3 linked regions of the Canis lupus familiaris genome follow. The protein of the gene in region 1 interacts with the protein of each later gene in a pairwise test. Links are inferred from orthologs where the notes say so. Each region holds a gene or a part of one and is shown on either strand. Other genes may lie near its edges.

Evidence for each region.
Region 2: the proteins of PPFIA1 (region 1) and PTPRD interact in a two-hybrid assay, tested with the Homo sapiens proteins (2 studies listed by BioGRID). The link is inferred for Canis lupus familiaris from reciprocal best matches to the Homo sapiens genes PPFIA1 and PTPRD.
Region 3: the proteins of PPFIA1 (region 1) and PTPRS interact in a two-hybrid assay, tested with the Homo sapiens proteins (2 studies listed by BioGRID). The link is inferred for Canis lupus familiaris from reciprocal best matches to the Homo sapiens genes PPFIA1 and PTPRS.

The regions. Positions count from the first base shown.
Region 1 is NC_049239.1:48,512,866-48,517,966, forward strand, and holds the start of PPFIA1 (liprin-alpha-1), read right to left. Parts: upstream 3,313-5,101; 5' UTR 3,219-3,312; intron 1,951-3,218; coding exon 1,687-1,950; intron 1-1,686. UniProt on the Homo sapiens protein: May regulate the disassembly of focal adhesions. May localize receptor-like tyrosine phosphatases type 2A at specific sites on the plasma membrane, possibly regulating their interaction with the extracellular environment and their association with substrates.
Region 2 is NC_049232.1:31,345,727-31,350,741, forward strand, and holds the start of PTPRD (receptor-type tyrosine-protein phosphatase delta), read right to left. Parts: upstream 3,253-5,015; 5' UTR 2,923-3,252; intron 1-2,922.
Region 3 is NC_049241.1:54,969,811-54,974,672, reverse strand, and holds the start of PTPRS (receptor-type tyrosine-protein phosphatase S), read right to left. Parts: upstream 3,253-4,862; 5' UTR 3,114-3,252; intron 1-3,113. UniProt on the Homo sapiens protein: Cell surface receptor that binds to glycosaminoglycans, including chondroitin sulfate proteoglycans and heparan sulfate proteoglycan.

The DNA of each region.
Region 1 (5,101 bases):
AAAGGGGAGGCAGAGAGGAGAGAAGGCAAGAAGGCACTCTGGTGGGGAGGCAGGGAGGTGCTCAGGTGGGGAAGAGGCGAGTCAGGGAGCCCAGGAAGGCAGGGAGGCGGGTGTGGCCAGCATTGTACTCTCCACTCAACGAAGAGCTTCCACAATACTAAGCAGTAGCTAAAAACAAATCACTGAGCGACTGTGCCACCCCGCTGGTGGGACAACCTTCACTGCACTAGACTGTACTGCACAAAACTGCTGTCCCTTCTGTTAGGCTGTTGTGTGTGCTCATTCTTTCAAAAGTCCACCTGATCAAATACATAAGTATTTGACATGCGCTTCAATGCACTGTCTCAAATTACATTAAAACAAATACAATCACAAATCAAAAAAACAAAAACTACTGAAAAATTTACAAGTACACTAAAATCCTGGTGGAGCATCATTTGGCCCATGCTTTCGAGCTCGTGGTAATAAAACCAGACCTACACAAAGTACACAATTCGTGACGCTTGCCCGAGAAAAACCGTGATGGCTCCCCGATCCAACAGAAAAGGAGCACTACAGCACTAACGGCAGATTATTATTGCTAAAAAGGAAATGCAAACGTCTGGCTTATCAATCTTTCAGGAGAACCAGCTACAGCCAAGAAATGCATTCAGGCTGGCAATTACTCATTTACTAATTTAGCACTGCAGACCGACGGTGGGAGCACAAGCATGTGCTTATGCAGGCCTACCTGAAAGGACCACAAAGGCGCCTATTACGGGTAACTCAAGTGGCACCTAGGCGGCTGTGAACACCCAAGTAACCTCTGTGTCTCCGGCATGCTCTGTGCCACTCGCCTTACACTTTCCTCTACCCTCTACCCTCACCTATCATGACGTCCTCACTCAGCTCCACAAGGAGAGGCTTTGAAACTAGTCCAAATGTCATATACTAAGATTAATGGCTTCGGCGTCACTTCAAGCTTACAATTCTCATCGGCCAAGAAGAAAGTTCCGAAGGAATTAATCTCTGTCTCATATCCTCCACAACAAACTTCATTTATAAAACACAGGTGTTCTTAGAAAAGTGGACTGTAAAAATATCTTTATCTTTCCTGTGAAATCAATCCTATCTATCCATTAAATTTCATTAGAAAATGGGAAATGCGATAAAATCCATAAGAAACACAGGTTGAGCAAGAAAGGCCTAAGACGACAGAATGGAAGGCAGCACGCAGCTTGGATGCCTCATGGCCCTTGTCCAAAAACTTCGGAGCACTGTCCCAAATTAAGGCAGAAGAAAGGAACAAGAGTTACGAGGTGTTTAAGTATAGTGCACCACAGCTTGTCTTCCCTCAGAGGTTCAACCCTCGGGAACCCTCTCTGCACATGACTTACAGACACCAGAACCACAAGCAGCCCAGGTGGCTCAGCAGTTCAGTGCCACCTTCGGCCCAGGGTGTGATCCTGGAGACCTGGGATCGAGTCCCACTTCGGGCTCCCTGCATGGAGCCTGCTTCTCTCTCTCTCTCTCTCTCTTTCTCTCTGTCTCTCATGAATAAAGAAATTAAATCTTTAATAATTAAAAAAAAAAACCAGAACCACCATTTCACAGACTCATGTAAAACATGAACACCATGAAAGGTGACACCATAATTTAGAAGGGGAAAGAAAGATCTGTAAAGTTCCAGGTGAAAGGCATCCATACCTGTGGAAGTGCAGTATTGAGCTGCCTCTGCAAGGAATCTCTTTCATGCCCGACCTCATGTAACTTCCCCTGGGTTAATGCCAGCGTTTCCTGAGTCTCTCTCAGCGTGTCCAGAAGACGGTCCCTCTCCTCCAGCATGGACACCATCAACTGTTCGAAATGTGAATCTGCATCTGGCTGCGAAGGAGAGCTGGACCCACGGCTCCCACTTCCTCCTGGCAGGCCTTCTGCTTCACTGATGGTCGGCATCACCTCGCACATCATCTTGAAATAAAACACCCAGACTCCAGTCATTAAGTGCAAAATAAAGGCTCCCACAAACCTGCAACTTTATTAGCTCTCCGTGCTGCTCATAAAATGAAGGTTGACAGCCTCGTTATTCTCAGATCCGACTGTTACACTCTGAGTATAAGTAAGCGGAAAAAAACATACACAGGCGAATCCTGAGTGTGGGAACAGATTAATACGTGGGATAGTGCAGGGCAGGGTAGAGACCTCACAGACTACCCCTGGAGTACAGAACCAACCCTGGGGCGTTTTGTCTGCAAAGCTGTACTTTCTGGTTGTTGAAAACAAGTGTGCTTCTGCAACTTACTTTTTCCCCTTTATTTCCCGGTTCGGGGAGAGAAAGTCAAAACACATGCCACCCAATCATGTTTCGGGAAAAGCACAGAAGGAGCATACAGCCAGTAAAACTGACAAGTACAAAATGCATCAGGCATCTTGGAGGAATGTGTGCAGTCAGCTCCCGAGGAGGACTGGCGGCTCCCTCGGCTTCGGGCCGGACTGGGTGAGCGCTCAAAGGCACCGGATTCGTTAAGGGCCGGGAAAGGTGTTTGTCAGTGGCTGCAAAAGGTGTGACGGTCAGGCAACCCAACTTACGTAAGTTTACGGCCGGAGGGAAAAAAAGAAAAGAGTATTAGAAAGGAAACTTGCACACCGGGCATGGAGCAGGTCGGTGCGGCCGCGGACGGCTAGGAGGGAGCGGAGGAGGAAGCAAGACGGAAGAAAGGACAGGGAGGAGGACGGAGGAGAAGGGAAAGGGGAGAAGGAGACGCCGCCAGCGAGGCCCACAGCAGGCGGGCGCCGCGGGAGGAGGCTGGAGCCCCGGGGGCGGCGACGCCGCGACCGCCGCGACCGCCGCGACCTCCTCGCCCCTCGCCCAGCGCCGCGCTGCAGGGCCCCGGGCCCCGGACCCCGGACCCCGGACCGCGGGGCACCGCTGACAGCTGGAGCGCAGCCCGGGCCGCGGCTTCCCCGGCCACAGGTCCTCGGCCCCCGAGCCCGGCGCGGGGCTGACCCGGGGCTGACCCGGGGCTGACCCGGGGCTGACCCGGGGCCCCCGGGGCGCCGCGGCCCCAGGAGCCCGGCCTCGGGGCGCCCCGCCGGGGCCCACCGCCTCCGCGCCCGGGGGCTGACAGCGAGCGCCGCCGCGGGGAGGGGGCCGCCGCGGGGAGGGGCCGGCGCCCGGGCGCCCGCGGCCCCGCTCCGCCCCGCTCCGCCCCAGCCTGCCTCAGTCTCCCGCTCCTTACCTTGCTCGCCGGCGGGAGCGGGCGAGGAGGCTCCGCGGCGCCGTGCGGGCGGCTGCTCGCTCCGGGCGAGCTCGGGGCCCGACGAAAGCGGCCCGCGCCCGCGCCCGCCGGCCCCGGGCCCGCAGCCCCCAGTCACCAAGGCCGGCCCGCGGCCGGACACTGCCTGAGCGCAGGAGGAGCGGGCCCGGCTGCGCGTCGCCGGCGTCAACGTGCCCGACGTCGGGCGCGTCGGCGCAGCGTCAGCGCCGAGCGCCGCCGGCCGGCCCCGCCCCCCGGGGGTTGGGGAGCGCCGCGGAGGCCGGGCGCGCAAGCCCCGCCCACTCGAGGGGCGGGGCGGGTCCCCCGGCGCCCATTGGCCAGGTGCGGGCGGAGCCCCGCCCCCGGCCCCGCCCCCCAGGTAGGGGCCTTCTCCACCGAGCCGGAGCTCACCTACCGCGGCTCCGGCCGCCCAGAGGCCGTTGGCAACGTCTACCGTGCGTCGGGTTCTGAGCCAGCGCCTTCCTCGAGGCGGGTGCGCCCCGGCGCGAGACACCTGCTGGCTGCCTCCTCGGGGTCGGACCCTCCTCGGGACCGACCGTTCCAGGACTCAGAAGGTCGCGGCGTCTACGCGGGGCCCTTACCTGCGATTCCTGCGGATGCCCAGTGGGCACCGTTTGATGCGGAGATTCCTGGGCGCGGCGTGGGGAGTGCAGGCTCGCCCCTGCGCGGTGGCCTGGGCAGGTCAGCGGAGCCCGCGGCGCTCAGCGCCCCACCTGTATGATGTGAAAACGACACGGCCTTACTCCTGGGCTGCTAGAGCAAGTGGGATCCCACGGGGGGCGGCTCCATTCACGTCCTTATTCATACTCACTCATTCATTTCCTTCTTTGGGCTACTTTGTGCTTTCCAGGTACTACATCATGAATGCACATTATTTTTATCATTAGGGAAGCCCCCTCCCTCCCCCACCCCCCCAATAAATGTTCCTTTAGTAAAACCTAGGCAAACATAAATCATGGAAAATAGCTTTTGGGAAGCTAAAATGCCTTTTCTGTGTACCTATACCACCCAACTAAACTATTTCCCCAAAGTATTTATCCAAAACCTGTTTTAGAGATGGAGTGGCACCCTTGTAAGGCTTAGTCAAGAAAACGAGCCATTTTCCCTAAAATGGTTTTGCTCCAACTCTCCCGTCGAAGGCTTGATAAAGAAAACCCAGGAATGTGGGAGGGGAGGGGATAGATAGACCAGTACTATGGCCAGGGTCGTGTTTTTACAAATGTGCCCACCAGCCTCAGCTCTCTCATGATGTGGTTGGTTGTCAACCATAAGCATGGCCCAGGCCACCTCTCCTAGTTTCTAGAGATGGCTTTCTAGAGCTCGGGAGGAGTGTTCCTCTAAGATCGGAGTGTGACCAGTCCTAGAGATCTGGATGTGTCCCAGGTCTATCAAGACTATGGAAAACAACCTAATGAATAGTGTGACCCTACAGTTCGGGGAAGGCCTGAGCTGGGGGTGGGTGGCAGAAGATGTGGCCCTCTTCCTCCTCTGTTCAAAAGGAGAAACTAAGGCCTCATTTCCTTTCGAATCCCCAAAAGGACTTGCCCACAGGCACCCAGTTAGTTTAGCGTTGGAACTGGAGCCACGAATGAATGGGAGCTTTTGATCCCTGACCCAGTCGCTATGCTGTTGTGACCAAGAAGTTGTCTCTTTAAGGGACAACCAAAGAGTAAGATTTCTATCAGTGAGGCTCCAGGGCTGCCCAAGTAGTCCGGTCGGTCCCCTGAGGAAAGAGGTGGGGGCCCTGGACTGGGTGACTTCAGCCACTAGCGTCAACCCTGTTGAAGTTTCCTGTGTGTCCCCGAGAAGGTAAGCAATCAGTAAAGAAGGAGAGAGGGAAAGAA
Region 2 (5,015 bases), on another chromosome or scaffold:
ACAACAATTGTCATATGCACTAGTAGCCTGTCCCAAAATTTTAACAGAGTATCTAGCTAATTATTTCATACAAGCAACAATATTTTAACTTTTCTCTTGCACTTAATAGTACCAAAGAAAAATGTCCTTTGCACTTGTCGTTTGCATCCACACCCAAGTAATAATACACAGGAGAGAGAGAGTGTCATTCCACTGAGTGAAAAACACAATTTTTAATGTTCAGTCTTTAAGTTCACATTTAATTAACAACATTTTACTTTCCAAATAAATTGTTTTAAGTAAATAGCAATCATATCCAAAGGGTTCTATAAAACATAAGATCATGTGTTCGATGAAGTCATCTTTAAGCTACTACAGTTACAGGACTAGACCTGTAAATTCCATATTAGTATTAAAGGAAAAGAAAAGTACATTTGCCTTCACCAACTGCAATGGCAAGCAAATGCAGGTATACGGCACTTTATTAATAAGAACTCCTTTAGTAAGCACACGTTAGAGGAATTAATCATTCATTCCCTGCAGACTGCTTATGTATTTCATAGGGCCATTATCTGATCTGAATAACAAGAACAACTGCATAATAAAACACATTACTGCTGACACTAGCAACTTTCTTTTTTCAACTTTAAAGTTGCAACCACCTCTGTATTGCATAGAAAACTGGTGGCAAGAAAAAAAAAAAGGCAAAAACAAGAAAACAAACAAAAAGACAATTTAATCATCCCACCCAGTTTTGACTTCTTTGAAAGTGATCAAATATAACATGTTCAAGCTTGACTAGAAATGGTTTTAATTCAGGCTATCTTCCTTGGCACTCTAACATAATTAGAACACAGGCAGAATGTGTTTCACATTAATTTTCATGTTAATTGTAAATCTTTGCTTTCAGCAATTTGAATATAGTCAACAATTTTGTCATGTCTTTTCTACTGTCATGTCTTTTCTTCTTTTCTACTTTTCTAATGTGTCCTATTGTAATATATGTAATAACATGTTTGATCCACTCTTAAAATTGGCTACTTCAGTACACTCTTACCTTTTATTTTTCAATAACTGCTTTTTCAAACATCAGATACCTTTCAGGTGTTTGAGGTCACAAGTGAAGAGGGATCAAATCTGATCAACCAAGGGTTTAATTTTAAATTACCTAAATTCATTTTAAAACAACGCAGAAATGGAAACTGAGAATAGCAATACCTCTAAGAAAATCCATTTGGATAGAAAATAAAGTAATATACAATAAACAGTGACATATCTTTACCAAATGATTTCCATATATTACAACTTCATATCAACAAATTCAATTGCCCTACTGTTATTTCATTACCCTCAAAACTTATGTCCCAAGATATTCAAAGCTTTTGACATTGAAGAACCATACAACTCTAAAACATCTTTCTTTTTTTTTAAAACCATTGTACATGAGTTTACTTGTAAAATTTTAAAAATCAATGCCAAATGAATAGTGCCACTTTTATATATTTGAGTAAATACAAAGATAATATTTTTTTCACTTTACCATTATCAGCAATTAAATATGAGAGCCCTTGGGTATTATTTGATAGTAAGGTGTTCTGTGGAAAAACAATATTATCTGTAAGTAAGGAGCTTTAATTTTCAATCTGGTTCATAACTCTTAAAGACATTTGCTTGCAAAAGTGTGCTTTACATTGAGATAGAAATTGAAAGTTAAAGGTAAACTTTTTAAATTACTATTCTACAGTAGTCAGCCTGCATGCTATTATGTCAGAGAACTTTGTTAAAAAAAAAAATCAGCTCTGTTGTATCTAAACTGGAATTCTACTGTATCTACTATATATGTAACAATGCAAGAAGAATTAGATTCCGAGTCCATTTGGCAGTAATAAAGAAAAAAATGCTGAAATGTTATTGATTCTCTCCCTCCTGTGCAAAACAAACTGACTCAACTATATTTTTACTGACATAACACAAAGGTTTTATTTAGATATTACAAAATATTGGCAAGTGTTAGACTGTATACCTCTTATTCTTTTTAAATATATCATTAACCCTTTCACAGAAAGAGGAAGAGTGTCCTACTTGTTCTTACAGAAATGCTGCAGCTACCGACATGGTGATGTTAGCCCCAAGAGGAATACTGCCTGCAAAAGTTTTTGATGCAGAGATATTCGGCCCTAGGAGACACCTTAAGCCTGTCACTGGCTGCTGAGCCCCTGTCACAGTCTATAACCTGCTGTGTCAAAGTCACAGCCTCAGCTCCTGCCCTCTCCAAAGCATTTTTCACATTCCCTCTCTGAATGAATTTCATCCAAATTATCCAAACTAGCCTAGTTGGAGGATTTTCTTCCACATCTCATCTACCTAGAAACCTCAACAGGATTTTCTCCTGGTCTTTCAGACCGTCTTTATCAAGTTTCCCTTGACCCAATTTTTTGGCCAGCTGTCTTCAGGACTAAAGATAAGCAACCAAGTGAAGTCAGAGAAGGATGGGAGTTGGTGTGGCTGAGGGTGGAGGTGGACAGTAGCAGGAAAAGTGAACCAGCAGGTTCGAATTCTCAAGCTTTTTCTAGGTAACCAGCCTTATATCTTGGAACCAACCAACGTTTCACAAGCCAGGCTTCCAACAGCCCTTGAACAATAAAGGTTTAAAAATCAGATTCCCCAATAAGGTTTCCCACAATGAAGTCTTCTCAATGCATTTCCAAAAAAAAAATAAATAATAATAATAATAATAAATAAATAAATAAATAAATAAGCAAGCAAGCAGCTTAACAAACCACTTCTCAATTAAGAACTACTTAAGTCATGTAAGTCAACTTCTTCCCCGGTGAAACGAACTGTCCATACCATCTGAAGGGAGAGCATTCGGCATATGCTCTTCCCTCACTTGAGAGTAAAGAAATATCAAAAAAAAAAAAAAAAAAAACACAGTTTACTTACTAAAGCAGCCGCTCCAGTCCTCCTTGGAAACCCTGAGGAGTCTTCTCTTCTCTTTCCTACCAGTCAAATAAAGAATTGTCTCTCTATTCCACACAGGCCCAGAATAAACTGCAAGAAAGGGCAGCACATGCTCAGCAGCCCGTCGGGCTTTGGCTTGGGCAGGATGCTTCGGGTGCTGTTTGTTGCACAAGTGGGATCTTCGTTTCCGGAGGGAGGGGACACCGACCGAAGAAAATCGGGGCGCTCCGAAAGCGTGCTTGGGTCCTGCAAATTCTTCAGAAGGCAAAGTACCCGCACTCTGCCCGCCGAGGCTGCCTGTCGGCGGCGCGCGAGGGGAGGAGGCGGACAGGAGGAGGAGGAGCCGCGGGAGGGCGCGGGCGGGGAGGGGACCGCCGGGCGGGGGGGGGGGGGGGCGCCGGGAGGCCGGCCGAGCTGCGGCCGAGACCGAGACCGAGACCGCGACGGAGCCCGCGACCGAGACCGAGACCGAGACCGCGACCGCGACCGCGACCGCGACCGCGGGGAGGGCCGGCGAGCGGCCGTCCGGGCGAGGCGCTGGGCGAGGCGCGGCCCGGGGCGCTCGGGCGGCCGCCGCGGGCGCGGGCGCGGGCGCGGGCGCAGGTGCGGGCGCGGGCGCAGGTGCAGGTGCCGGAGCGGGCGGCGAGGGGCGGGGAGCGGAGGCGGCCGGCACCTCCCGGCGGCTCCCGCGCTGGCTGGCTGGCTCGCGCTCGCACACACAGGCACACACCCCACGTCTCGGCCGCACGCACTCACCTGCATTTCCCTAACGAGCCACTTGATGGCTGCCAGCGGCGCGGGCCGGCGCGGGAGGGCGGGGGTCGGGCGGGGAGGACGCGGCGCCGGGTGCTGCGAGCGCCGGCCCGGGTGGAGGCGGCGGCGGCGGCGGGCCGGGGCCGGAGGAGGGCGGCCTGCGCGGCGACCCGAGCTGCCCGGGCGCGACCCCGCCGACCCCGCGGCCCGGAGGCCGTGCCATGCCCCGGGCCCCGGGCGGGATAAAGCGGTCCGCGCGGGGAGAGGATGCTCTATCCCGACCACTAGAGCCACAGAGGACTTGTCCAGGTGTAGATCCCGGTTGCGCCTCTTCAGGTGTTTGCGTGCTTTGGGTTATTTCATTTTGGGGTTTGGGTGGGTTTCTTTTTCGGAGGGAAGCTGGCGGCAAGCGTCAGGGGGGCAGAGGAGCTAAAAATGCAGGGGGCAGAGTTTTAATTTGCAAGACATTCGTTGCTCACGAAGGGTCCACTTTAATGAGGAGGAGGAAGAGGAGCAGAGCTGCGTGGTGCAGGGTGCCCTGCGTGTAGTTTTCAGTTGGGGTGCTTGGCAGCGTGGCTGGGCTTGAGGTAGAGACAGGGCTCTGTCAAGGCAGTAGCTGAGAAGGGAAAGCCCCGAACAAGAGTTGCTGGAAACTAGCCTGGCTTCAGAGGCGAGGACGGGGACTGCGTGGGGGTGGAGGTGGGGGGTGTATTTCTTTACTACCTGCTTAGGGGAATGACCGATGCCTCTGAGGTGGTGTATCACAGACTCTGCCAGCAAGGAAAGAGTAACTTAAACCCCCTGAGCAAAGCTAGAAAAGAGAATTAGCACTGGGGAAGAGCAGGATGGAAGAAATGTCACAGAAAGCTTCTAACATTTTACCGTCATTTGTGTCTGATCAAAGGATACAGCTGTGACAACGAATGCTCTCTCTCTCTTAGTAAAGAAAGACCAATGTCACCACGTTGGTCCTTTAAAAAAAATAATTGTCCTGTTTATAATAATGCAACAGAAAGCCTTCCAGGTACCCTCTAGTCAAAGGTGCCCTAAGCACTGTGGAAGAAAACCGAAAGCAGTGGGCCATCTACTTTCCTTATATGTCCATGATCTAATAGCATAAATGTCACTTTCTCCCAAAGAGAAATAAAGCTTAATCAATACATGTGACATTTTCCCCAGGGTCCTTTCACCTCTTTTCTTTTCATGCCTGCTTCATTGCCTGCCATGTCCCTTTGCTCTTCAGGAGTGACCCTTCTTCTGAACCCATCTCCTGCCAGGCTACCTGCTCCACCCCCATAAACCCACTGAGCTCAGCCATCCAA
Region 3 (4,862 bases), on another chromosome or scaffold:
AGGGAAACTGAGTCACCACCACCACCACCCCCCCGGAAAGTTGGCCAGTGGAGGTAGATCCATCTCCGGCCCCGGGTCCAAAGAAGCCCAGGCTGAGCTCCAAGCTCCGTGTGACCCAAAGAGGCAGCAAATGGGCGGATGGTGATGGTTCCAGAACTACCCACCCAGATGCCACCACTAAATCCCTGACGTCCAGGGAGCTCCTCCCCTCGCACCCACTCCTCACACCCTCGCATCCAGAGCTACAGTCCCAGGGTTGGGAGAAAAATGCCTCAGGTCTCCCAAGTGTGGCCCAGGGACAGGCGAAGACACCCGGAATCCCCTGGGAAACAGGGAAGCAAGAAGGGCGCTCGGAATCTCTGCCGGAGGGGACAGAAGCAGAGGGACGGGCCATGGGTGATGTCCTGGGAGGGCAGCAGGCAGGTGCCTGGCTCTCGGGACCCCTCTCCCCGCACCCCCCACACGGCCAGCTCAGGGCCCTGCAAGGGACCCGGGGGAAGGGCGGATCCCCGGGGAAGCCCAGCGACCACCTGGGCAGCGTCCTCCAAGGCCATACCCAGCCACAGCAGGATGCCCCATCCCGTCTCCTGCAGGCGGTGGGGAGTGGGTCAGGCCACTGCCTCTGCCCTAGGACAGCCACTGGCATAACAGCACCAGCCCCCGCCACCCCCCTGGGGGGCCGATGTCATCGGGGCCAGGATGGCAGGAATAGAAAAGCACATGAGCTCACCAGGCAGGCCGGGTCTCCCGCGACGTTTTGTTTGCCTGAGCCCAATTATACCAAGTCTCAGGGCGATAGAGTATGGCGCGTGGCATCCCCCTGGGGCCGTGGGGGGCCGGGCCCCCAAGAACTGCACCGTCATGGCGAGGTGCCCCTGGGCTCAGGGGATGGGGCAGGACGGAGCTTTCTGGAGAAGAATGATGGAGATGCACGCCGGCGGCAGCCAGCCCGGAGGCTGGGCGGAGGGCATCGTAGGGGGCAGGGGGCTGCGGCCCAGACCCAAGTCCAAGTTGGTGGGCTCCGGGCGGTGGGGGCGGGAAGCAGCCGCCCCCAGCCCCAGCTGCCCGCCTTCCGCAGCCAAAGTATCAGCTGGCAGAGGAAGAAGAGAGCGGAGGGACAGAAGGCGGGCGAGATTGGCAGGAGGAGGGGGGCACAAAGGAAGGGACCCTGGGAGGGGGAGGGGAGTTATGCAAATAGCACAATCGACCGAATCCCTCGGCCATTAATAAAAGCTCCAGCAGCAGCAGCAGCTGGTAGCGCAGGAGTAGAGGCGCGGACTGGCTCTCCTCGCAGGCGGGAGGCGGCGATGAGGCGGAAGCAGGGCGCCCCAAACAAAAGGAGACCTTGCCCTCTGCACCCCAGGAACAGTAGTGATGGGGGCCACGCCGGGAAAGCTAGAACCCCAGCAGCCAAACTCTGGGTGGAGGCCGCTGGGGGCCCACAGCAGGTGGGTCCCCGTGCTTGGGACTCTCGGGGACCCTCCAGCTTCGTCCGGGCTTCTTGGAGTGAGAACGGACGCACAACCTGGACACCTCAGACACCCCCCTCCACTAGCTGTGCTGGCCAGGCCGGTCTTTTTTTTTTCCAGGGGTTCTGCCGGTGATAGAAGGGCCCTGGGCTCCAGAATGGGGACTCCCCCAGAGTGAGATGGGGGATACAGGGGGAATCCCAGTTGAGCCTAGCAAGGGGAGGGGAGGTGTCCCCCAGTTGGGAGGCGCTGGGGAGGTTTCTTAATGTGGGAGACGAGGTCCCTAGGGGGTGACTACATTTGAGAAAGGGGTATTCTCAAAAGCTGCCCATTTACAGGGCGACCAGAGGAGAATCTGAAATTGGGGGAAGGGTCGCTAAGCTGGAGGTTCCAGACGCGGGGGGGGGGGGGGGGGGGGGGGAGGGAAACGACACAGGCTGTGTCTGGGAAAAAAAAAAAAAATCCCAGTTTGCGCAAGGGTTCCCTGATTTGAGAATTCTGGAGAAAAGAGGCTGCAGGGGAGTTCTCCGATTTAGGGTGGAGGGAAGTGACCAGAACTTGGGGGGTGCTAAGTGAGATCGTAAATCTGGGAGAGATTTCCATAAGGAGCAGTGAACTTGGCCGAAAGCCTTGCGCCCCGACTCCGGGGGCTGTCCTCAGGGCACACCCCCCCCAGCGCCCCCTTCACCGGGTTCCGGCGACTCCGCCCCCCGGATGACGTCACCTCCCCTCCCCCCGCCCCTAAGGGGGCTCCCGGGGCGCGCAAAACCCCCCGGGCTGCCGGCTCCAGGGGCGGCTTCCCCTCTCCCGGGATCCCCAGGGGAGGTCGGTGCCGGGTGCGCGCACCCGTCCGTCCGTCGGTCCGTCCGCGTCCCTGGGGCTGGGGGCTGAGCCTCGCCCCGCCTGGGGGACGGGGAGGGGCGCCGGGGCCGCAGAAGGGTGGGGCAAGGCCGGGGCGCTGGGGGGCGGCCTCCCCCGGGGACCTACGCGGCCAGGAGGGCGCTAAGGTGAGGCGGCGTTGAGTCCGAGGTCTCCAGGGGCGGGGGCCTGCGGAGCCGGGCGCGGGCAGAGCAGCCCCCCGGGCGCCCCGGCCGCTCCGCCCTCGCGCCCACCTGGAGCACCGGTCCCGGGCCGGCCTCCGCTCCGGGGCGCCCGCGAGCCCCCTCCCCCGGCACAGCGCCCCCTGCCTCCCGGACCCGCCCGGGAAACCGGGGCCGGAGCCGCCGGGGCCAGCAGCCCCTCCGCACACACGCGCGTGCCCCTCCGCGCCTCCGCCCCGCCCGCGGCCCGGGTGGTGCAGCCGGCGGCGCTGGGCAGCTTCCAGCCGCGCTCCGGGCCATTCCAGCCCAGCCCCCTCCCCGCCGCGGCGAAGCCCCCCGCCCCGCCCGCCGAGCCTCCCCGCGGCCCCCGCCCGCCCGGCCCGGCCCCTCCGGGGCATTGTTCGCACGCCGCTAGCCAGGCGCAGGGCTGGGCGTGCAGCCGGCTGCAGCGGAGCATCCTCCGAGCACAATGGCCGTGCAGGCTCTCCCGGCACAAAGCCGGCGCGCTGCCCACTCCGCTGCCTCCGAGACCCCCACCGGAGCGCCTGCAGGTTTTTTTTTTTTTCAATCCAATTCGCGTTTTATTCCCCCCCCGCCCGTTTACCTGGAGGCTGGCTGGGCTGGGCTCCCCCGGCTCTGCCCCGCTTCACATCCTGGCTGTTGCATGGGATTCGAGCGGAGCCCGGGCGCCAGCGGCTCGCGGCGTGCGCGCGCCGGCCGGGCTGCCGGGCGGGCGGCGCGAGGACACTCACTGCGGCTCGCGCTCCCCTCGCGCCGGTTCGCGCGCCCCCCCCAGCCGGTGACGTCATCCCTTCCGCCAGCGCCGCCGCCGCCGCCGCCGGCCGGGGGCGGGGTCGGGGCGGGGCCGGGCCGCGCGCGTCACTGCGCAGCCGCGCGGCGGCCACGCCCCCCCGGCCAATGAGAGGGCGCGGGTGGGTCACGTGGCCCCGGGGCGTTTAAAGGGCCGCGAGAGCACGTGGGGCGCGGGGCGCCGAGGAGCGCGGGGCGCGTGGGCGGCGGCGGCGCGAGGACTCGTCCGGCAGCTGCTCGGCGTCCGACCCCCGCGACGCTCGGCCCCCGGGGCGTGGTGCTTGCGGGGCGCGCGCTGTGGCCCCCCGAGTCTCCCTCGAGTACGCCCACGTGTGCCCGTGCTGCAGCCCCGCCGGCTCCCTCCCGGCTCAGCCCCCTCGCCCGGAATAGCGCTCCCCCGAGGGCCTCCCCTTCTTGCGGCCGCTGCTCCGATGGCAGCTCCCGGGAAAAGCCCTCCTGGGTCGCCGCCACCAGCCTCCCGGCGCCCCATTCTCTGATCCATCAGGGCTGCTTTCATTCTGGTCACAAGAAGGTGTGACTCCAAAGGGCCTGGGGATCCCTTTTATGGGTCGAATGGACGAGGGAGCATTTATTTCCTCCCTCCTCATTACCGTTCCCTGCTTCCCTGGCTGGAGTCGGCATGAATCGTCACAGGAATCCCAGCTCGGGCACTGAGTCGCTGTGTGGGTCCGTGAGCCTCAGTTTTCCCACCTGCAAAACGGGCTTGTCCCTTTGCGGGTCGGTGTCCTGTCTGTGAAGTGGGGCAAGGTAGAGAGTGGGAGGGTGGACTGGTGATGGTGTGCTGCCCTGCCTGTCTTCTTAGCGGCTTGAAAATGGAATGAGGAAAAAAAAGAAAGAAACAAAGGGGAAGGATTGCCATGGGAGGTTGGAGGGCCCAAAGACACCAAACAAGATTGCACGCTTCTGGGTGAGTTCTGCACACGCTGAAAGCGGTTTATTTCTCCAAGGGATGTATCTGGACAGGGCCTTGCGCCTACAAAAGGACACAAGTTTAGAGTTTGGGTTTTTCCTCCAAAATCGTTGATTCATTCATTCCAGGCCAAAGATGCAGATATAAACAAAAGGCATTAACCCCGAGAACAAAATGAGAAGGCGGAAGTCATAAATAGGAGAAGAGAGAGGAGAGAATGAATAATTAAACAAGGAACCTAAATTAAGCTCGGAGTTTCCCGGCGGCCAGTGCAGCGGCCAGGTTTGCAGAGCCTATTTGGTTCTCCTTCCTAGCTGCGTGACCCTGACCTAAGCGGCGGCAGCCTGGCCTTGGTTTTCTCATCCAGGCAAGGGAGACCCAGCCCCTTCTTGATGATGGTTTCTCGTACACAGTAGGTTCTCTGGCAGCCCGGTGAGGGCGGTGTGAAGGGAGACTGCCGGCTCTGGAAGGCTGCATGTGGCAGGAGCCCCAGCCTCGCCACCTATTAGGGGAGGGATCTGGAACAAGCCACGCAGACTCGCGGTTCCCATCTGCTAAAGGGGCAACCACATCTGAGAGTTCTCCCGAGCAGCAGAGGAAAGGGCATAAGAT